Linked DNA regions of Caenorhabditis elegans. The protein of the gene in region 2 purifies or fractionates together with the protein of the main gene of each other region. This does not show direct contact. Each region holds a gene or a part of one and is shown on either strand. Other genes may lie near its edges.

Evidence for each region.
Region 1: the proteins of nhr-188 (region 2) and C05D11.13 fractionate together in Caenorhabditis elegans (co-fractionation; one large-scale study listed by BioGRID). This does not show direct contact.
Region 3: the proteins of nhr-188 (region 2) and Y104H12D.2 fractionate together in Caenorhabditis elegans (co-fractionation; one large-scale study listed by BioGRID). This does not show direct contact.

The regions. Positions count from the first base shown.
Region 1 is NC_003281.10:6,442,557-6,448,414, reverse strand, and holds C05D11.13 (Vicilin-like seed storage protein At2g18540), read left to right. Parts: upstream 1-3,828; 5' UTR 3,829-4,009; intron 4,010-4,442; 5' UTR 4,443-4,443; coding exon 4,444-4,592; intron 4,593-4,630; coding exon 4,631-5,300; 3' UTR 5,301-5,358; downstream 5,359-5,858. Other genes in the region: T26A5.6 (UDENN domain-containing protein), read left to right, coding at 1-85; let-721 (Electron transfer flavoprotein-ubiquinone oxidoreductase, mitochondrial), read left to right, coding at 1,509-1,743, 1,796-2,397, 2,525-3,314, 3,372-3,538; mel-32 (Serine hydroxymethyltransferase), read left to right, coding at 5,600-5,662.
Region 2 is NC_003283.11:3,853,751-3,861,622, forward strand, and holds nhr-188 (Nuclear Hormone Receptor family), read right to left. Parts: upstream 4,112-7,872; coding exon 4,022-4,111; intron 3,957-4,021; coding exon 3,860-3,956; intron 3,800-3,859; coding exon 3,426-3,799; intron 3,190-3,425; coding exon 3,068-3,189; intron 3,019-3,067; coding exon 2,894-3,018; intron 2,833-2,893; coding exon 2,579-2,832; 3' UTR 2,546-2,578; downstream 1-2,545. Other genes in the region: nhr-186 (Nuclear Hormone Receptor family), read right to left, coding at 245-356, 1,063-1,197; nhr-189 (Nuclear Hormone Receptor family), read right to left, coding at 4,711-4,964, 5,027-5,151, 5,197-5,318, 5,778-6,142, 6,189-6,285, 6,349-6,453; nhr-187 (Nuclear Hormone Receptor family), read right to left, coding at 7,339-7,580, 7,637-7,761, 7,817-7,872.
Region 3 is NC_003282.8:1,174,478-1,183,364, reverse strand, and holds Y104H12D.2 (DUF7930 domain-containing protein), read right to left. Parts: upstream 5,344-8,887; 5' UTR 5,327-5,343; coding exon 5,178-5,326; intron 5,067-5,177; coding exon 4,925-5,066; intron 4,819-4,924; coding exon 4,579-4,818; intron 3,879-4,578; coding exon 3,778-3,878; intron 2,052-3,777; coding exon 1,829-2,051; intron 774-1,828; exon of another isoform or gene 704-773; coding exon 575-703; 3' UTR 501-574; downstream 1-500. Other genes in the region: rmif-2 (RecQ-mediated genome instability protein 2 homolog), read right to left, coding at 282-390; cec-2 (Chromo domain-containing protein), read right to left, coding at 6,690-6,929, 8,395-8,728.

The DNA.
Region 1 (5,858 bases), on a different chromosome or scaffold from region 2:
AGTCAAAGCAAAATTCTCAAACTGGTGGAATCGAAAAGCAACCGCACAAGAAGGTGTTGAAGAGGCAGAGGAGCCATCTGAGTGATTTATTAAAGTCAAATATGTATAATGGGCATTTTATCATCTTTTAAAGTTTTTTATTGTAATTAGAATTTCTGTCATATTTCCTTTGTTTTGTTTGTGTTCCATTCAATTTGATCTCTTAATGATCGAATCGTTTTCATCCGGTTTATGTAAGTCTAATCAGTTTGTTTTTCATGTAATCAATATAACTATGCATTTGTTTAAACTCAAAAATTGGTTTAATATACGGGTGAAGATGAACATCCTTTTATATATTACTTTCTTCTAATGATAGAATTGTGATTTATGATCTGTGACCATTAATGTTTTGATTTTAAATACGTAGACAAGTTGAAGAGGCAAACAAATAACGTTTAATATTTAGTTGAAGAGAAAACTTTTTTTTCAAAAACTCGGATAATATTTTTTCCAGTTTTCTTATTCACATTTTAAAAGCACAATTTACAATTGATAATGTTAAAATTCAACAAACTTTTCAAACTTCCCAGGAACCCCCTACAAACTTTGTTTTCCTGTGACGTCACTAAGCTACCTTTGCACTGTAGACGTTCAGATTTGTAGTCTCTCCTCTTTTTGTCCCTCGTGGGAGACACATGTTCGTTGTACTTTGCCCTTTTGTCTACTCCTCTTATCTCTCCTTTCCTCTACACGTACGCAAAGATACACTTTACCCTGATTTTTTGCTTTTCTTTTCCGAAAATCACAACAATTATGTATTTTGTTTTCATTTGAGGAATACGTAGAAGAAAGTTATAAATTTTAGCTAAAATATTTAGAACTACAATTTTGTGACCCCAAAAATAATTCGAAAAATGTATCTTTGATAGTAAATCACCCATTTATTGTGGCTGGCTTGGCTGGTTGTTGACTTGTTTGTTTTGTCTGCAGTTGGTCAATCGATTTGTTTTTTCCCATCGTGTCTAAATATATTTTTAGTTGTTTCTTTTTTCAATTTTATGCGCCCAAAGATACAGTCACCGGTCTCGACGCGACAAAATTTTGCTAAATGAGAAAAGGCGTGCGTCTTTAATGAGTACTGTAGTTTCAAACATAAATAGGTTGCTACATAAATTCTACCGGTTTATCATTGTTTTTTTTCCAGAATTACTAAAATTTAAGTATTTATATCAACGGATATATTTGAGTCTTCTGTAAATAAGCTTATTTATTAATTATTAATTATTATTATTATTTTCGAAAATCTATGAAAAATAGAGTAAAATTCCACAGAAAATTTGAAATTATAGTATTCTTTAAAGACGCACACCTTTTTGTATTTAACAGTAACCAGAATGCATATATTTTGCGAAAAAAGCAAATACATTTTTCATTGAAAATTCACGTAATTTTTTAAAATTAAAATGCAACAATTATTTCTTCAATTATCGATTTCTTTCTCATTTCTCAATTTCTGTGACTTCAGAATGCGGATAAGTGGAGTCACATTATTCCGCGTCTCATCACAACTTCGCAACGTCGTCAACGGACAATGGACGACTACTCACTATACTGTAAAGGATCGATCCACTGATCCACGGTGGAAGGATGTTGATTTGGCACGAGAAAGTGATGTTTATGATGTTGTCATTGTTGGAGGAGGTCCATCTGGTTTATCAGCAGCCATTCGATTGAGACAATTGGCTGAAAAAGCTCAGAAAGGTAAAATCTAAACAAATACATTTTAGAGTAAACATATTTTTTTTAATTTCAGAACTTCGTGTCTGTGTTGTCGAAAAGGCATCTGTTATTGGAGGGCACACTCTCTCAGGAGCTGTAATTGAAACTCGAGCTCTTGATGAACTTATTCCAAATTGGAAAGAGCTGGGAGCTCCAGTTTACCAACAAGTTACCTCTGAATCTATCGCTATTCTCACTGAATCTGGTCGAATTCCAGTTCCAGTGCTACCTGGAGTTCCACTTGCAAATCACGGAAACTATATTGTTCGTCTTGGAAAGGTCGTTCAATGGCTCGGCGAGCAGGCTGAAGCAGCTGGAGTCGAAGTTTGGCCAGAAATCGCTGCATCTGAAGTGCTCTACAATGAAGATGGAAGTGTGAAGGGAATTGCCACAAGTGACGTTGGAATTGGAAAGGATGGAGCACCGAAAGATGGATTTGCTCGTGGTATGGAATTCCACGCGAAATGCACAATTTTCGCTGAAGGATGTAGAGGACATTTGAGCAAGCAAGTTCTCGATAAATTTGATTTGAGAACACATGCAATGACTTATGGAATTGGACTCAAAGAACTTTGGGAAATTGATCCAGCAAAGCATAGACCTGGTTATGTTGAGCATACTATGGGATGGCCATTGGTAAGTTTCTGAAGATCTAAAAAATTAAGAAAAATTGAAAAATCTAGTAAAATGTGAGCTTTTTTTTTGAGTGTTTCAGATTAAAAGATATATTCTAGAATTTAATCTCTAAAAAATGATTTTTCAGAATGTTGATCAATACGGAGGATCCTTCTTGTACCATATCGAGGATCAAGGACAACCACTTGTTTCCGTTGGTTTCGTTGTTGCTCTTGATTACGCGAATCCAAATCTCAATCCATACAAAGAATTCCAAAAATACAAAACTCATCCATCGATTTCTAAACAATTGGAAGGAGGAAAACGAATTGGGTACGGAGCACGAGCTCTCAATGAAGGAGGATTCCAAAGTATCCCGAAGCTTCATTTCCCCGGAGGATGTCTTGTTGGATGCTCAGCTGGTTTCTTGAATGTCGCTAAACTGAAGGGAACTCATAATGCAATGAAAAGTGGAATGGTGGCTGCTGAATCAATTTTCGAGGATATTCAACAAAAGGGAGAGGATGTGCAAACGATTGATCCAGCTACATATGACAAGAATATTCGTGATACTTATGTTGTTAAAGAGCTCAAAGCAACCAGAAATATTCGTCCATCATTCAATACTTCATTGGGATACATTGGAGGACTGATCTATTCTGGAATATTCTATGTTTTCGGTCGAGGAATTGAACCATGGACTCTTGGACACGGAAAGAAGGATAATGAGAAGCTCATTCCAGTGAAGGATGCAAAAGAAATCGATTACCCAAAACCAGATGGAAAGCTAACTTTTGATCTTCTTACATCTGTATCTCTTACTGGAACCAACCATACAGAAGATCAACCTGCTCATTTGACATTGAAAAATGATCAAGTTCCACTTGATGTGAATTTGGCAGTATATGGTGGCCCGGAGGCTAGATTCTGTCCAGCTGGTGAGATTTTAATACAAATTTGACTTTTAAAAACACATAAATAACTTTTTTTTCCAGGAGTCTATGAATTCGTCCCATCCGAAGCTGATGAATCAAAGAAGCGTCTCCAAATCAATGCTCAAAATTGCATTCACTGCAAGACATGCGACATCAAGGATCCTCAACAAAACATTAACTGGGTTACACCAGAAGGAGGTGGTGGCCCAAAATACGAGGGAATGTGAATCCTTTAGCTTCTCGTTTATGTTTGTGTATAATTTTTGTACTTATTTATTCGCCACTATCGACTCGTAGATTATGTATTTCTGTTCTTCAACGGTTTCTCTCAATTTTCTCTCATTTTCGTGTTCCCCATCTTTTGTAATGCCATTACATTTTTATCCAAACCAAATGAATAGATTTCTGATTAGTGTGTACTTGAACGGAAAAGCTTCAATATTGCCATAATTGTGGTACATATATACATTCATCCCACTACAGTATCCTTTTCTGAAAAGATTGCAAAGTGTTGTATAGAAGAAGAGACGCAGATAATCAAACAAGACGTCTGCGCTCGTGTATGTTTGTCTCTGGACAGACATACACACAGAAACACCGACAATGAAGATATGAAGACACACAGACACACAGAAAGCCGTCATCGATTCTCCTGTTTTCTTTGAGCCTTATTTATATTTTTCTTATTACTCCGACGCGTAATTTTGAGATTTTTGCGCCAAAAACGGTACCCAGTCTCGACATGATATTTTTTTTAATGTGATAATTTCAAAACGGTGCACACCTTTGGAGAGTACTTTAATTACAAACTTTTGTAGTTGCGGAATGTTCATCGATTTTCCATCGTATTCCGATGAAAAACATCCTTAACTATTGAAAACTCAAAAAAAAACACGAATTTTAACAGAACGTAAGAAAAGTATGAAAAATCATGAACGGTTCCACACCAACTAGATTAAAAAATTACAGTACTCCTTGAAGGCGCACAAGTTTTTCTCATTTAACTAAAACATGTCGTGTCGAGAATCGGCACCGTATTCTTGGCGCAGGAGTCGCAAAACCTCTGTCTGTGTATTTAGTAATGTAGATTTTCAAGTTTTCTGAAAAATTAATGTATATTTGTAAGTTCAGAATGAGTAGAAAAGATTGCAAAAATATTGTCGAAGACGAAGAAGAAGATGAGAAGAGTAATGGGAATAAATCTGAAAGTCCACAAAATGCTGGCCTAGAAGAAACAATTCAGAATTTTATAGCAACATTTTTACCTGGTTCAAGTGATGAGTAAGAGTAGTAAATAGCATATTAAAATTTTTTTTAAGTTTCAGACCTCATATTACGGATATTCCAAGTTCATCCGAACCTCAAGAAGGATCTAGAGAATGCAGACTCTCCAAAGAAGCACATCGGAAACGTCTGAGAAGAGCTCGTGAAACATCAGAGGAGACTCACACACGTCTTGCCAAGGCTGCAGACTATAAAAGGAAGAGATGCTCAGAAGAGACAGAAGAAGAATATAGAGAACGATTGAAAAGGCAAGCTGAAAGAAAAAAAATGGAAAGAATGCAAGAGTCGGAAGATCAGGCAAATAATCGAAGAATAAAGGCTGCAGAGCATCGACGCCAGTATCTGCAAAGGGAGTCATTCGAAAAAGCTCAGGAAAGAAGGAATAAGGATGCGGAACGGAGAAGGAAGAGTCTCCTGGCTGAAACTCCAGAAGAAGCTGAATTGCGTAGAGCCAAGAATGCTCAGAGACGTCGGGATGCTATTAAGAATGAAACACCAGAGGAAGCTGAAAATCGGCGACAGCGTGATGCAGCAAGAAGACGGCAATATTTGCAGACGGAGACTTCAGAGCAAAAATCAGCTAGGAAAATCCAAGATGCTGCACGAAAACGTCAAAATCGAATTTTGAAGCAAGCAGGGCAAAGTGAAGAATCACTTGCAGTCATCACGGGATCATTGAGCGATGGAACTCTTTCGGGTCTATAAAAATTAATTGAAAATTTTTTTAATAAATAAGTAGTTTGTTGTTTGACCTTTTGCTTTTAAAACCGATAAAATCGTATTAATTTTTTGAATCAACGGTCCGCTCATTTCCACCTATCAGTCTTTAAATTCTGTTGAATCGCAATAAAAACGGCAAGTTTCATCTCTTGTTTGCAACAAAACAGAGAAACTGATAAGACTGATAACGATCAGTGGTCTGATCGATAGTCGATTTCTGTTTTAACACATTTATTCTGAAGTTCTAGAATTTTATTTGTTATTTTAATATTTTCAGGCACAAAATGTTTGCAAGGATAGTGAGCAGAAGAGCAGCAACTGGATTATTTGCCGGAGCCAGCTCCCAGGTTTGTGTGTGCACTTTCGCGTGGGATCAGTTGTAAAATACGCATGGCGCGAATATTTGAATTTGTAAAAATTTTGCCCGCTCAAAGTTGCAATTTGCTTTTCTCTCCCCATTTTCATTCCCAAAACGGCACCGTCCATGGTTCACTCGTTGTTTCTGATCAGAAAGTGATCTTCATCATAATATCTTGCCATTTT
Region 2 (7,872 bases):
GGCAATGTCAAACTAAAATTTAATGACACCAAAAATTTCAAATTTACGCCAAAACTTTTTAAAAATTAAAAATGCAATTTACCAACAAATTTACTAGTGAAATTAAACAATTGAATTTTATTCGCCAAAATTTGCTTCACATTTAAAAATTGAAATTTTCTTTTCAACCCAGTCTGTACATTTCCAGACTTTTTCCTGTCGCCCTCTACAGGCTCCTTCAAAAGGTTAAACAATGTATCCTTACCGTCAACATACTCTTGTCCATCGTAGCACGTGTTCCAATATTTGCAGTTATACGTGATGTGGTCTACCTCCACCCGGCGGAAGAACATTTTGCACGCATTACACGAGAGAACCTGCAAATCAAAAAATTTCATGGTTTGTAGTAGTGGGAATTTGTAGGAATTTTGTTCCAGGTTGCTAGATTTTGCAATTTTTGAGCTTTTAAAAATGATTTATCAATGAGATCAAAAAGTTTTTATTTTTAAAATGTGTTTAAAATTATCGGTTTTGTTTTGCCAATAAATAGTATTAAAAAAAAAACTAATAGAGTTACAATTACGTGCTCTGTTCGCACAGCTTTCAAAAGAGCGAAGTACAAGCTTCAGTCATTATTTGCTACTTCCGCCGGCAGCGCAGACAGAAAAAGAAGTGCAAGACAGAGATGTCTAGAGAGTTGAAATATCAATAAGTTCAAACAAGAATGCGTAGAATTTTTTTTTCAAAAATATATGGGCTTTTAAAAATTTTGTTAGGAATTTTTAAACTGATATTTGAACTCTTGCTAAATTTTTGAAATTGACAATTATCGAATTGAAAAAATTTTTGAAAATTGGAAATTGCGGAAAATACCAAAAATGAAAAACGGGCAAAGTGACAAATATGCCGATAATTTAAAAAACCTTAAATAGAATTTGCCAAACTATCGAGTTACCGAAACTTTTAATTGCCGCCCGACATTCCCCGGGTTGCGCCGCTCTCCGTACATACGTGTATTTGGCTGACCCAGTAGATGTCAGGCGCTGATTTTAAATAGAAAACTTTCAAAAAAAGTTGACTTACCCCATAATTGTAGCAGAACGCCGGTTTTCCACAAACCGCACATTTTTCCGACACACTCACGGCACTGGTTTCCGGCTCCATATCCGTCGGCAAATAGTCCGAGCCACACGAGTCAGGCGAAGGGTTGGCAGACATTACTAATTTATTCTATTTAAATATCAGGCCTAGTTTAAGACAGGAGGAGCTTTGGAGATCAAATGAGCAAAAAGAGATGTAATAAGATAAGAAATGTAATATCACAAATTTCTGATTTCTGAAACTTGCGCTATAAATTGCGCCTGAAAGAACTGCAGTCTAGTTGTAAAGATCAAAATTGTGTGAATGTAGTAAAATGAGAACTTGAGGAAAATGGGCGGTGATCAAAAGATCGGAAATGGACAAAAGGTGGTGGTGCTCCGCGAGAGAGACACTGCCACTTTTTCCGTCTGTGTGCCTAGTTGCTCAAAGATCGACGAAATCCGAAAAAGAGAGCAAAGGAGATTTGTATGAATAACTGAACTAAATTGTAGTTCGCTGAGACGTATTAGGGGGTTTTATACTAGATAGAGCCCAAAGAAAATATGTGAAAAAGATACAATGTCGGGTAATATGATGTGTAATTGGGAATTTATAGTGAAAAAAAAAACAGAGAACTGTAAATTTTCATCGGTTTTTTTAGCATAATCTTCCATTGATCATGATTAAAAAACGATTTTTTTTTTGGAAGTTCGATTTTAAAATTTGAGAAAATATGGTACAAACAAAAAACTATTCGACTAAATTCGCGGTCTAAAATCTCAATCGTAACAGTTGTACAAACTATCGGGAGTTTTGGATCTGTCGTATATATTTTTATTTGACGAATATATCGGAAATAGGCAAGGCTTCCGTGTAGGCGCCTGAACAAAATGCCTCGCTGCCTTCAAGGCGACCTCCGTCTGCTTTGCGCCTACAGTCTTCATATAAGTTTTGATTCTTCAAAAATTGCGAATGGACAAAAAATTGTTTTCTTCTTTTCTGTCACTTGTATGTAGTTAGTTATTTTTGATAAAAACCGAGATATAACCAACTAAAATAAAATAGTGAAGTGCAATAATATTATAAGTAATATTGAAGAAAACTTTGAGGAAATTCAAAACTTTGAAAAACAAGCAACAATTTGATTCTGAGCAAAATAGGAATTGTGTCTAATATTTAAAACATTAGAAAATTGTTCTCTCATATGTATCAAATATCAATGATCTGGCTCAAAATTTTACATATGCTCATAATCTAATCCGCTTTCGTATAACTTCTCAAAGTTCAGACTGATCACTTCCGGCTTCTGATTTGTACTTCTGAGAAAGACATAAATCACATATGGCATTAGTCATTTGCTCTTTAATGAGCAAAAGCTTTAGCTGACAAGAAATTCAACCTTTAAAATAACTTTCTAATCAGGTGTATTTTATCCATTAATAAGTGCAGTTATCAAAACCAATAAAGTCAGTAAATACATGTTCCGATTTTTATTTACATATTTGCCCAAAAAAAATTATCATGCATTAATACAAGTATCAATTAATAAGTGTTTAAGTTTAGATTTTGGAAAGTACAGCTGGCAAAGTGTTGTAAGACTGTTTGCATCTTCTGATGTCTTATTGATCACGTGTGATATTGACAGAAGGTCTGCAAATCTAGATGGTCCCGATTGTTGATAGGATAGGAGGCAATATTGAAGAAGGGTAGAACTATATGACTTCTGCCGGGTTGCTAGCAGTCTTCGAGTTCTTTCAGACAACGGGTGGATGGCTGAGAATAGCTTTTTCAATAATTAACCTATGAATTGGGTTACATTGAAATACTTAATTACCTGGATTACAAAACAGCAAGACACTCAGCATAGCGTGCTCCAACTCGGTGACTTTAAGCTCGGCAACACGAGACACTAAACCGCATTGTATGCTATTTAAAAATCCAGCGGAGAACATCGACAATCTGTAAGCAAATGAACAGGTTCATCTAGAAAAAAGTGTGCAAAATTTACATTATATCCGAGTAAATATCCTCGCCATCTGGTGTTGTCACTCTATCAACTTTTGCATTCAGAGCCCTCATTGCACTATCAAGGACTATTGATTTCGAGGAGAAATTTCGGAGAAGCACAACCTATAAGTTCTTAAGCTTAAGCTATACTAAACCGATTTTTTTTCAGACTTTTACGACAAAAAGGCGGTAGGAAATTTTTTGTTTAACTATGTTTTTTTTTAGGAATTTTGATAGATTCCATTAAAAAATAAAAAAAATCAGTGACGTGGTATAATTACAAATCTAATTTTTTTGTGACTCCCACGACTCGACTCCCGTTTTTTTACTCCCGTTTCGGTTTTGTATACCCCACAAACCTTTTCATCATTCTCAATTAAATTCATGAATTCCAAACTTAAAAACGTCTCAACAGCAATATAAGTAGCTTGAAAACTCCATTCTGCCACGGAAATTTCTTGTTTTTCAGTCTTCCGCTTCATCCCTGACCAGAATGTTGTTTGAACCATTTCCTCCAACGTTGGATTCTCCGATGTGTAGAAATTGCATAATTTGTACCGTTTTGTGTAGTTTAAATACAAAACTTCTTGGATTAGAGCATTTGTTGCAAAATCTGGATGACTCATCGGTTTCGTTTTGTAAAGTTTTTCCATTGCTATTGGGCCAAGCTTCATCCCAAGTCTCACGCATTTTTCAAAGCGACAAGCTTTGCATCGTGGTTTGAACTGATCGGCTGGAAAGTCGTTGGCGATACATTCGAGAAGTTTTTAAAAATATTTTCAGAGTTCCTTACCATTTTCGAGGCATTTTTTCCAGTTCCTGCACTGGTAGGTTATCTGCTCAATCACAACGCGTCGGAAGAACATTTTGCACGCATTGCACGTGAGCACCTGAAAATTGAATAAAAACCAAATGTTTTAAAAATTTTATTAGTGAAATTTTTTTAAAAACTCACCCCATAATTATGACAAGATGCATTTCTTCCACAAATTAAACATTTTAAAGTGCTCCTATCCATTGACAATAACGTTTTAAAAACTTTCATGTTGACTGAGAGTTAGCTCACTAAAGCTCACTTAATAAAGCAAGATTAAGCTCATTTTCTCAAGCTCTCATTTTCTGGGTCTCTCATTTATAATTTAGGAAATGAGGAGAAAAGCAGCTGCACAATAATGTTCAAGGAATATGACGTAAGTGCAAAAGATCAAATTATGAAAGCTGGGAGCTTGATATTAAAAGCTGACCGAGGTTTTAATATCAAGCACTTTTGGCAGTTTGGTTTAAAATATTTTTCCTTTTGGAAAATGACCAAAAAATATGCGGAAAATATTTTGTGAAAGGCTAGCCACAGTTTTACCATGCATATAAAAAAGGTTGAATATTTTCAAGGTTTGTTAAAATTATATAATTTTTTTTAAATCTTCTGATACCCATTTGTTCGATAGAGCAGATTTGCAGTATTGCTGTTGTGATGATCAATGCCGGCAATTGATGATTTATGAAATTATCGGCAATTTGGCATTTGGCAAAATTTTAGATTGCTTCAATTTTCAGCAGTTTTCAAACTTAATTATATATTTTTTAATTAAAAAAAAACTATAAAAAACGGATTTTTACAAAAATTTTACAACTTAAGAAACACCTTTATACATTAATACAAATATCAATCAACAATTTTTTCAATTTAACTTGTGGCATGTACATCTGGCAAAGTGTTGTGAGACTGTTAGCGTCTTCCGATGTCTTATTGATAACATGTGATAGTGACAGAAGGTCCGCAAATCTAGAAGGACCCGATTGTTGGTAGGTTAAAAGGCAATATTGAAGAAGGGCAGAACTATATGACTTCTGGCGGGTTGCTAGGAGTCTTCGAGTTCTTTCAGATAACGGGTGGATGGCTGAAAATTGCTTTTTTCAAAAATTAACTTATGAATTGGGTTAAATTGAAAAATTAAATTACCTGGATTACAAAACAGCAAAAAATTTAGCAAAGCGTGCTCCTGCTCGGTAACTTTGAGCTCTTCAACGCGAACCACTAAACTGCTCCGTATGCTGTTTAGAAAATCAATAGAGAACATTGCCAACCTGGGAAAAAAATATAGTTTTTTATTCCAGAAAATTGCAACTTACAGCAAATCCGAGTAAACTTCATTACCATCAGGCGTTATCACTCTATCAACTTTGGCATTCAGAGACCTCATCGCACTATCAAGTTGCATAGATTTTGAAGAGAAATTTCGAAGTAGAACAATCTATAAATTGCGTTCCGTTTTATTGAGATGACTGTCGATGTAATTTTGAAATTTCCGGCAAATCGGCAAACCAGTAGATTGCCGGAATTGAAAATTTCAGGCAAATCGGCAAATTGCCGGGATTAAAAATTTCCGGTAAATCGGTAAAACGGCAATAAGCCAAGTTTTCGAATGTGCCGAAAAAACGGCCATTGGCGAACATTTTTGGCAAACTGTGGTTTTGTACCTTTTTTTTGGAAGGTTCAGAATTTCAAATTCAATCGGCAAAGTTTTACGCATTCTATGAATGTTCCTACATCTATTTTGAAAAGCAAGCAAATTCTATGAAAATATCAAAAGAAAACGGAAAAGCAATTTCAAAAAGGCACAATTTTGACCCCTGGTGCATTTACCGTACCGCTCACCCCTGGTGCATTTACCGTACTCCTACAGTAAGAAACCTAATCGAGAAAGACCAACCTTATCATCATTCTCAATAGAATTCATAAAATCCAAACTCAAAAACATTTCAACGGCAATATAAATAGCTTGAAAACTCCATTCCTCTACTGATATCACTTGTTTTCCAGTTTTTCGCTTCATCCTTGATCGCTTAGTTCTTTGAACCATATCTTCCAGTGTTGGATCCTCAGAAGTGTAGAAATTGCACAATTTGAAGCGTTTTGTGGAGTTTAAAAACATAACATTTTTAATTAGAGAATCCGATTTAAAATCGGGATGGATCAAGTCAGGAAGTTGTATCTTCTCGAGTTGACCTAGCGTCATCCCAAGTTGCAAGCATTTTTCGAAGCGGCACGCTTTGCATTGAAGAATTGGCTGACCGGCTGTAAATAAATTTATTGAAAACTGTGTGCAAATAAAAATAGCTACAATTTTCAAGGCACATGTTCCATTTCTTGCAGTGGTAGGTTAACTGCTCAATCACAACGCGGCGGAAGAACATTTTGCACGCATTGCACGAGAGAACCTGAAATTTATATGTTGTTTAAAAAGCTTTTAGACAAAACAAATATAGTAAAAACATATTTACCCCATAGTTATGACAGGATGCATCTCTCCCACAAATTGTGCATTTCGGAGCATTACTGGTACTCAATTCCATAGCCAAGCTTGGCAACTCATCAATATCTTCCATTTTGAATAAGGAAATCAGTGAGCAAAATGAAAAAAAGAATAAAGCAGGATTTGCTCTTTTTAACAGGCTTTGACTTCCTCGGTCTCTTTTTATATAATTAAAGAGTCGTGGGGAGACAGCTGAACTAGAATGTTCTAAGAACATGTTTATAGATAGGACATAAGATCAAACAACGAAAAAAGTGATCGTACATAGATTTATAGATTTCTGAAAATAATAATTTTTAGTCACGGCTATTTTGAGGGTGTCAATAAGCTCCGGCTCAAAATACACACATTTTTCCGTAACATTTTGGATTGACAAATGTTTGAAAATTTTTGTAAGTGATATTTAATTTAAAAGAAGTGTTATATATGTAACACTTTGGAATTTCTTTAATTTTTAAATTAATTTTAAATTTTTTTTTCAAAAGTTGCAAATTGGTGGCAAATTAATTTGAGAGAAGCTGTTTTTGCACATAAAAAATGAAATTTTTGAGTGCAGGTGAACATTTTGGAAACTTATTTGGAAAATTTCATTGGAAAATTAAAAAAATAATGAGAAAGAACCGAATCTTTTATTTTTGGATCTAGTTTGGTAAAAATTTCACTTTTTTTCCAAAAAATACAACGGTGGAATAGGTTTATGTGCATCTAGAATAATGAAAAAAAATTCAGATCTATTTTTCGGATCATTAGGCCAGTTTTTGCTAGAATATTTTTGAATAACCATCTGTTAAATACCAATTTTTTCAACGTTCAAAAAAAATTTTATTAATTTTTTAGAAATTATGTTTGAAGCTCAGAAACTCACATTTAATAATGATTTTTATGAGAAAGAGTGGAAAAAATTACAAGCAATATTTTGAGATCAGAAAAAACATTAAAGTTCAACGGTAAAAAAAATTTAAATTATAACAGAAACCAGATTTTTGTACTTGACATGAAAATGAAATTGAAAAATCCAGTAGAGATATTGTACGTCTTCATAATACTTGTTGGTAACTGTGCACAGTGAGAGAAGTTCCGTGAAACGAGACGATCCATTATGCTGATAGGAGAGCTTACAATATTGCATGAGCGCGGAGCCATAGGCTTTTTGTTGCTCTGTGAGCACGGCTACTGCGCTTTCGGAGAGGTCGTCGAGAGCTGGAAATTTTTTGAAATTATCAACAAAAAAAACGGATTTTTGAACTAAATATTACCAGGATTACAAAAGAACAATACTGTAATCAAAATAAACTCCTCATTAGTGATGTTCAGCTCGATAAGCCTGTTAACTAGCAGGCTTCTGATACGGTTTGTGTAGTGGAGTGAGAAGTCGGACCATCTGAAGAATGATATTTTAATTTTTTTAATTTTAAAATTAATAAGTGAAAACTCACTGGGACAAAAATTCCACGAAAAAATCTTTTCCATCGGGCTTTATCATTTTATCGTT
Region 3 (8,887 bases), on a different chromosome or scaffold from region 2:
TTAGCACTATGTCATTTTTTAATGAAAAATCGAATTTGTGGTTACCGTATCCCTAAATCCGTGCAAAAACCGCATCAATGCACCGGATTTTACGACAAAATGCGGAAAAACGCGGTTCTACGTAATAATCGAATTTTTTCTGCATTTTGTCGTAAGATCCGATGCATTGGTGTGATGTTTGGGGCTACAGTAACCCAAAAATGACAATTTTTCGGCGTTTTCCGCACCAAAAATCGATAATTAAGTGGATTTTGCAGTTTTTCCGCAAAAAAAAAACCTACCCGTCTTATCTCGAATCTTGGGCGGTGTGATTGATTCCACAAATGCACAAATGATAGTTTCTCCGGTGCAGCGGCTCGCGATACTTGCACAATCGTCTCGATCGCACATTTTCTATGGATTTTCCGGTTTTTTGGGGTAAAAAATGGGTGAAAATAGGTAAAAAAAAGCCGGAATTTTAACCGATTTTGTGCGGAAAATAAGTGCAAAATTGTGAAAAAAAAACCCAATAATTAGTATTGACAAACACGTTTTCGAGAATAAAACCGAAAAAAAAACCAAAAAAAAAATCCCATTATTCCGTGCAATTTTCACGGGAAAAATAGCAATCTGGAAGTGCTGACGGTGGCAATTGATCCAATATTGATGAGTATCGATCCATATCTTCTGGATGATTTTGGAGCAGTTTTCGGAACATGATTGTCTGAATATTTCAGGTTTTTAGGCGAAAATTTAGTGATTTTGACAAAGTTTTCACGTGAAAAATTGAAAATTTGGGCATAGCTTCCGCATCTCCAGTGACAAATGTGCTCTATTGCACAAATTGTTGGTTGGAATACGGTATTTATTGCATGTTTCAGCCGAGAATACCACTATTCAAACCATCAATTCGGATAGAGAAACACACAAGTCACAGACAATATACAGGGAAATTCAGTTCAGTTGCCGAGTTGCCGTACTCAAAATTTATAGCATTCCTCGGTAACTGGGATGAAAAACGCCGAAAATGTTAGAAAAAAAAACGGATAAGCTTAGAAATTCAGATTTTCAACACAATTTTGAGAAAAATTAGCAAAATCCAAGCTAATCCTAGGTTTTCAACAAAAAATTGGAAATTAGGTAGAATTTTTCGGTTTTTACAGCTTTTTAATTTAAAAAACTTTTTTAAAGTTTAAAAAAAATTTACATTTTTGGAAAAAAAACTAGTCAAAATGTGTGAAATTTTTCAAATTTTTTGAAAAATGTCGTCAGAAAATTGATTTAAATTTAGAAAATGGACTAAAACTTTTTCTAAGCGTAGCAAAATCGGTCAAAGTATCCTAATTTGTTTAGATATTTGAAAAATTTTGAATTTTTTTTAATTCCTGAAAATTTCCAATTTTTCATTTTTTTGCAAAGGAGGCCAGAAATATCTGAAAACGGTATGGAAAATGGGTTTTCCGAATTTTTATCTAATTTTTGTTGACAAAATAATTTAATTTACATAAAAATCAACCTTTTTAATAAAATATTCACATTTCTAACAAAAGTTAGTAAAATATCAAATTTTTAGCGCATTTTTAGTAAAAATTAAGGCTCTAAAATGCCAATTAAAGTGGAAAATTATAAAAAATTCTGCATAAAACCGGTAAAATTTAACCAGAAATATCAAAATTTCAGCCAAAGTGGGAGCTTCCAAAATAAACTTTTTGGATCTAAAATTGAATGTTTTTTTTTCACTTTTTTTAACGCAAAATTCCGAATTTCCAGGCAATTTAGGGTTAAAATTTCCGATTTTCTCAGCTCATTTTTAGCGGAAAATCCCAAATTTCCACTCAAAACCCCGTACCACAAGACACGCAGGAGTCTGTGCATACGAATCCGACGTGTTCACTTTTTTCGGCATCACAAGTTCATGAGAATCGGCAATTTTTTTCCATTCAACAGCGTCATATCTTCCATTGATTAGCATAGCTTTGAACATAACGTGATTATCGATTGATATGACGTCATTTAGTGCTCGAGCCGAAGGACTATCATCTGCTCCGCCAGTGTATTTTAGAATTGGGCATCTGCAAAAAAAAAGGCGATTTTTGGTGAAAATTTTAAGTTTTTTGGCCAAAAATTTATGAAATTTGGCCCAATTTTGGCTTTTAAAAGGTGTTTTTCCTGAAAAATGAAAATTTGGGCATAGCTTCCGCATCCCCGGTGACAAATGTGCTCTATTGCACCGAATTGTTGGTTGGAATACGGTATTTATTGCATATTTCAGCCGAGAATACCACTATTCAAACCATCAATTCGGATAGAGAAACACACAAGTCACAGACAGTATTGGGAAATTCAGTTGCCAAGTTGCCGTATAATTTTGACCTACTTTGCGCAAAGTCTGAAAAGGTTGGGTCTCGCCACGAAAAAAAATTCGAATTTCCTTTAAAAATAAACAAAAAATACAAATTTTCCGATTTTCATGGGAAAAACATCGAAAAATTCAAAAATTTGCCGTTTTTTCCGTAAAAAACGGATTTTTTACCTGGAAAAAGCCACAAAAAATTCCGAAAAACAAGCGGAAAAGCTAAAAATTCTAATTTTCAGCAGGATTTTGATAAAAAATTAGAACAATCCAAGAAACCACTAGGTTTTCAACAAAAATTGGAAATTGAGCAGAATTTTTCAGTTTTTACAGCTTTAAAAAAAAACATCATAAATTCCGAGTTACCGTACCCAAATTTATAGCTTTCCTCGGAAACTGGGATTTAAAAAAACCCAAAAAACTACCAATTTTTAACAGAAAATTGTCAGAAAAAAGGGATTTTTATGGATTTTTTTTCAAATTTTATAATAAATTTTAATGTCGAAATTTCCAAATTTTCTACTTTACACCCGAAAACAGCCAAATTTCCGCGCTAAATGAAAATTTGGGCATAGCTTCTGCATCTCCAGTGACAAATGTGCTCTATTGCACAAATTGTTGGTTGGAATACGGTATTTATTGCATATTTCAGCCGAGAATACCACTATTCAAACCATCAATTCGGATAGAGAAACACACAAGTCACAGACAATATACAGGGAAATTTTCTGAAAATTTTCTGGATTTTTGACATTTTCAACCAAAAATATTCTAGAATTTCACAGAAAAATCTGGAAAATTCCAGGATTTTTCCTATATCATTTACTATATATAAAGCGCGTGTCCTTCTGTCCTTATGTAGTTTGATCTCTGATCAGAGCAACGAAATTTTGGGAAACCTTATGCTAAGTGCGCAGCAGACATCGATCGAGGTCCGCGATAGACACCGTATATCTAATGTGTTTTCTCAAAAAGTCGGGGGCCGCGCCGTAGGTGCGGTCCACGGCTGGTTTCTTATATTTTCCACATAGAAAATGTGAATTTCCCGATTTTTTTCCAATATTTTGGTGAAATTGTATGATATTCACTGAAAAAAATGTAAAAACTGATGAAATTTGATGATCAAATGCAATTTTCTCCGAAAATTTGTACAAATTTCGATTTATGGTCAACATTTTGACATTTTTCCGGAATTTTTCTGGTAAAATTTCCAGATTTTCACTGAAGAAATTTTGTAAAAAGCCAATTTTTAGTGAAAGTTTATGTTTCTGTGAAATTAGCTTTTATATTTCTAATTTCTGTCTGAAAATAAGCCCGAAACAGTCAATTTTTCTCGATTTTACAGAGTTTTTATCTAAAAATTCGATTTTTTTTTTTCGTTTTTTTTACAGAAAGTTATAAAATTAAGATTTTTAAGATTTTTTTTAGTTTTTAACATTACTAACGTAACAAGTATTCCATTCTTTTCATCTAATACATGTGCTTCCATTTCATCAACTTCCACAACGACTCCCCACGAAATTTTTACTTCTCCAGTTGCTACCGCCTGAAAAAAATTGAAATTTTTATTGATTTTCGGCATATTTTGGGGGAAAAATTTGAGCATTTTTCGTGTTTTCAGCTCGAAAATTGGGCGAAAATTGAGTTTTTTGTGAATTTTTTGCAATGTTTCGGTTTTTAGGCAAAAATTTGGGCATTTTTAATTAATTTTCCGAGTTTTTAGCCGAAAAAAAATTTTTTTTGGCCAAAAAAAACAGATTTTTGTATAATTAGTGCAATTTGGATAGTTTTTCCGTGTTTTGAACAGAAAATTGGACAAAAAGTCTTTTTTTTTTTTTGGATATTTTTTCGCAATTTTTAGGTTCTTATACAAAAATTTGGGTATTTTAGAGTATTTTCCAGGTTTTAGCGGAAATTTGGGCAAAAAATTGAACTTTTTGGAGAACTTTTAGGTTTTTATACAAAAATTTGGATATTTTAGATCATTTTTAAGTTGTTAGCTGAAATTTGGGCAAAAATACCAAAATGGCTCAACTTTGTCATAAAAATTCGTTTTTTCGGGAGAAAAGTTATATTTTTAGTCGAAATTTGCCATTTTTTAAATTTTTTAGCTCTAAATTCACATTTTTTTACTTGAACATTGGACATTCGGCGGCTCAAAACTCCAATTTTCTGCTCTAAATTCACTTTTTCAGCAGTTTTCCGAGCTCTAGATCAAAATTTATCGATTTTTCTCGATTTTCCACCTCTTTCTCCTCATTTTCCTCGACAACAAAGTGTTTTACAGCCTCAACAGCGACCCATTTACACCCTTTTCGTTCGATTTGCTCCTTGATTTTTAGCACCAGTTGATTGCTGGTATTCACGTATCGGCCCACATTTTTCACGATTTTCGCGTCAAAAGCGTCTCCCGGCACGAAAATTGTGCCTTTTTCGTCGTTTTGAGCAAACGCGTAGCTATCCGTGGTGCTGGTCACCTGGGCGATCTGGAAATACGGGATTTTCGAGATTTTTTAGCTTTAAAACTATGGAAAATTCAATTTTCTGACTATTTTTTCACTTAAAACCAAGTTTTTAACCCTAAAAACCCACCAATGGCCCGAAAACTTCATTGGAAATTCTGGCGGCCGCCAACATTGAGCCTTCGAGCTTTTTCACGAGTTTTGCCTGATAATTGCAGTTATTTTTGCGTCCTATCTGTTTAATAACCACCATTTGCACAGTTTCGTTGTATCTGAAACACTTTATCGATTTTTTCCGGGAAAAGTTCGAAAAAACTTGAATTTTCACCCAAAACTTTGATTTTTAATTGATTTATGTAACTTTTCCAGCAAAAAAAACTCACGAAAACTTGTCGAGCAAGCTTAAAAGCGTCTCGTTCTTGGTTCTGGCCGCTGCAATCGGTATAAATACGTTTCCAAGACTGGTGGTGGCGAATGCGTAGGTTTCCTCAAGTTTTGAGATGATTCCAGACAATTCCGTTGGTTCTGGCATAGTTTTTTGCTTGAAATCTCTAAATTTTCAGTTATTCTAACAAAAAATCACGAAAAAACCGTTGAAATCAAAGATTTTGGCTCAAAAATAAACAATTTTATTCAAAAAACAAAACGCGATAAACAACACGCGCTGGCGGGATATCGGAGTGTCGTTAATTCAAATGCGCGGGAGTTCAAACCGAAAAATTGCAATATATCGCAGAAAGTGCGGCAAAACCCCGATTTAAATCAATTTAATTCGCAATTTCAAAAGATTTTAGTAATGAAACATTAATAAATTTATTCCAGTGTTCAGAAGTTGCATATGTGTGAAGTAGGTCAATGATATATGGGGGAAAATCACGAGAAAAAAAAATCGATAAAAGTTCACAAAAATGGTGTAGAAAGTGAGAAAAAGCACATTAGTCAGGGTAAATTAAAAGAATTGCGCCATGTTGGGCAGAAAATGAGATTCTATTAACAATATGCGACAATTTTCGGCGAAAAAACACAATAAAAACAGAAGAAAAACGACAATTTTTAGGTAAAAGTCGATAATTTCAGGGTTTTTTTGGAAAAATCAATAATATTAGCGGTTACTATTAGAATTCTAGGATACTAGGCAATTCTACAAGCAATTTAATTAAGAAAATAGGGGAAAATACAAAAAAAACAGGAATTATCGATTTTCCGGCGGAAAAATCGATAATTTTGTGGATTTTGTTGGCGGAAATGGTGGTGGAATTGTGAGAGGAAGTGATTTTTAATGATAATTAAAAAGAAAACAAGAGATCGGTTGAAAAATTATCGATTTTCAAGCAAAAAATCGATAGTTTGGGCGGAATTGGTCATGGAATTGTAATCGGAAGTGATTTTTAGCAATAATTCAAAAAAAAAACAACGAGATCGGGAAAAAGTGATGAAAAAATAGCGAAAAATCGATAAATTTCGTAAAAAATCGATTTTTCTGTAATTTAGAATTGGTCATGGAATTGTAATCGGAATTGATTTTTTTGACATGAAATCGGGATAAAAACAACGAGATCGGGAAAAAGTGATGAAAAATTTGCGAAAAATCGATAAATTTCTAGCGGAAAATCGATTTTCAGTGGGTTTTAAAGAAAACTATCATGAATTCATGATAGCAATAGGGGGGGGGGGGGTTTCAGTGAGAAATTAGGATAAATTGATTTTTAAATATTAGCGAAAAATCGATAAAAATCGATTTTCTATCAAAAAAAAATCAATAATAATTAATTCCCTAGCGGAAAAATCGATTTTTCAGTGGGTTTTTAAAGAAAATTATTATGAATCAGTGGGAAATCGAGTGAAAACGACGGCAAATTATAGAAAATACGAATTCAACAGAAAAAAATCGATAATTATTGATTTTCCAGGGGAAAAAAACAATTTTTCCAGTCGGAATTCAAATTAAAAACCGGCAAAATTGCGACAAAACGTGACGAATGTTCAGTAATCTTGATTTTCAGTTCGTTGACGTCGAGCACTGTGCCGAGCGGCCGAAAAATCGATAATCCATGCGAATTTTCAAGTTTTTCGCACATTTTTCCGTTCATCCAAAGGGTGAAGCATGGGACATCGATGTGGGCGTTGAAGCGGTTCTGGAAATTAAAAAATTAAAAAATTTTGAGATTTTTCAGGGCGAAAATCGCATTTTTCAATGAAAATTGGATGAAAATCTTGCGCAAATACACTGAAACTGACAGCAATTTGCAAAAAATTCGAATTTTCGGTGAAATTTACCTTTAAAAAAAAATGAAATTTTCTATATTTTTTGTCGTAACTCCGCAGTTTTTCGTAGGATTTAGTGTGGACTAGGTTACTGTAGCACCAAAAGTTTGCAGTGCACCAGATCTTACGACAAACTGCAGAAAATTTAAATTTTTATTGAAAATCTCCTAAAACATGCAATTTGATCTCAATTTCCACCTAAAATTCAAGTAAAAGGTGTTTGCACAAATTTGACGCTACAGTAATCCAAAAAACACCAGATTTGACGACAATTTGCAGAAAAATCTGAATATTCGGTCAAATTATCAACAAAAAAAAAAGAAGCAATTTTCTAGATTTTTTCACGTTTTTGAACTCAATTTTTACTGAAAATTCAAGTTTTGTGCAATTTGTCGTAAAATACAGTGTTTTGCACACATCTGACGCTACAGTAATCCAAGAAACACCAGATTTGACGACAATTCGCAGAAAATTCGAATTTTCGGTGAAATTTACCTTTAAAAAAAAAGCCATTTTCTTTACTTTTTCACGTTTTTGAACTCAATTCTTACCGAAAATTCAAGAAATTTTTACATTTCTGCAATTTGTCGTAAGATTCTGTGTACTGCACATATATACGGCTACAGTAATCTAAGAAACACCGGATTCGACGACAACTTGCAGAAATTTCGACTTTTTTCTGCAATTTGTCGTCAGATTTGGTGTAAACACCGATTTATGGCTACAGTAACCGGAAAACTGGATTTGAACGGTTTTTTTTTGGTAAAAAATGGAGTTTTTCTACAAAAAGTATTAAATTGCGCAAAATTTTGACGACAAAACGCGAAAAATTCAAATTCTACGTTTAAACGGGATTATTCTGCATTCTGTCGTAAGGTTCGGTGTATTACCGATGTGTTTGCACAGGACCAGGAGTTTTCGCAGTTTTTCGCAGCTCAAAAATCGCACTTTCACGGCTGAAAAATCACGTTTTCCGGATTTGTAGAGAAAATTCACGATAAATTCAAAATTTTCATTGAAAATCGTACGAAAATCGCGATTTCCATATAAAATTTGTTGTAAAAGCCCCATTTTTCACACATTTTCGAATCATTTTGAAACAAAAATTATTTATTTTTAAACTTTGGGGATTACTGTAGCCCCTGTGAATCTGTGCAAACACCCAAATACACCGAATCTGACGCAAAATTGCAGAAAATCCGCAATTTGTCGTGTGAAGTCCGGTGTTTGCATGGAATTCACACGATTTTCCACTAGTTTTTGGCGTAAAAATGCTCGCAAAATTATCGATTTTTCCTGCATCATTTTTCGAGAAAAATCACAAATTTTGCATACATTTTTCACGATTTCCGGCCCCCCAGAATTATTATCGATGAAATCCTCGTGCCATGCCATTGAAAACGCGAGGAGCCCCAAATTGTTCCCAGTGAATTCACTCAAATCCACGTGGAATTTCGAGCGTTGGTGCGTATTGGGAAGGTAGCCAGCGTCGTTGTTCCAAAATGTGCAAATTTCGGTGGTGCCGCAGGAGCCGCCGCCGCCGGTGGCACTGAACCATTCACACATTCGTGGACGTTTATCAATATATTGATTATGGAGGCAACGGAAATCACGGCGAATGTCGTAACGGGTGGAACGGACGGCGGCACACATTGTTGGCGGTAAAGTCCTGAAAAAATCGATAATTTTTTTCGTGTGAAATTATCGATTTTTTTTGTTGGTAAACACAATCTGACGACAAATTGCAGAAAAAAGTCGAAATTTCTGCAAGTTGTCGTCAAATCCGGTGTTTCTTAGATTACTGTAACCATATATATGTGCAGTACAC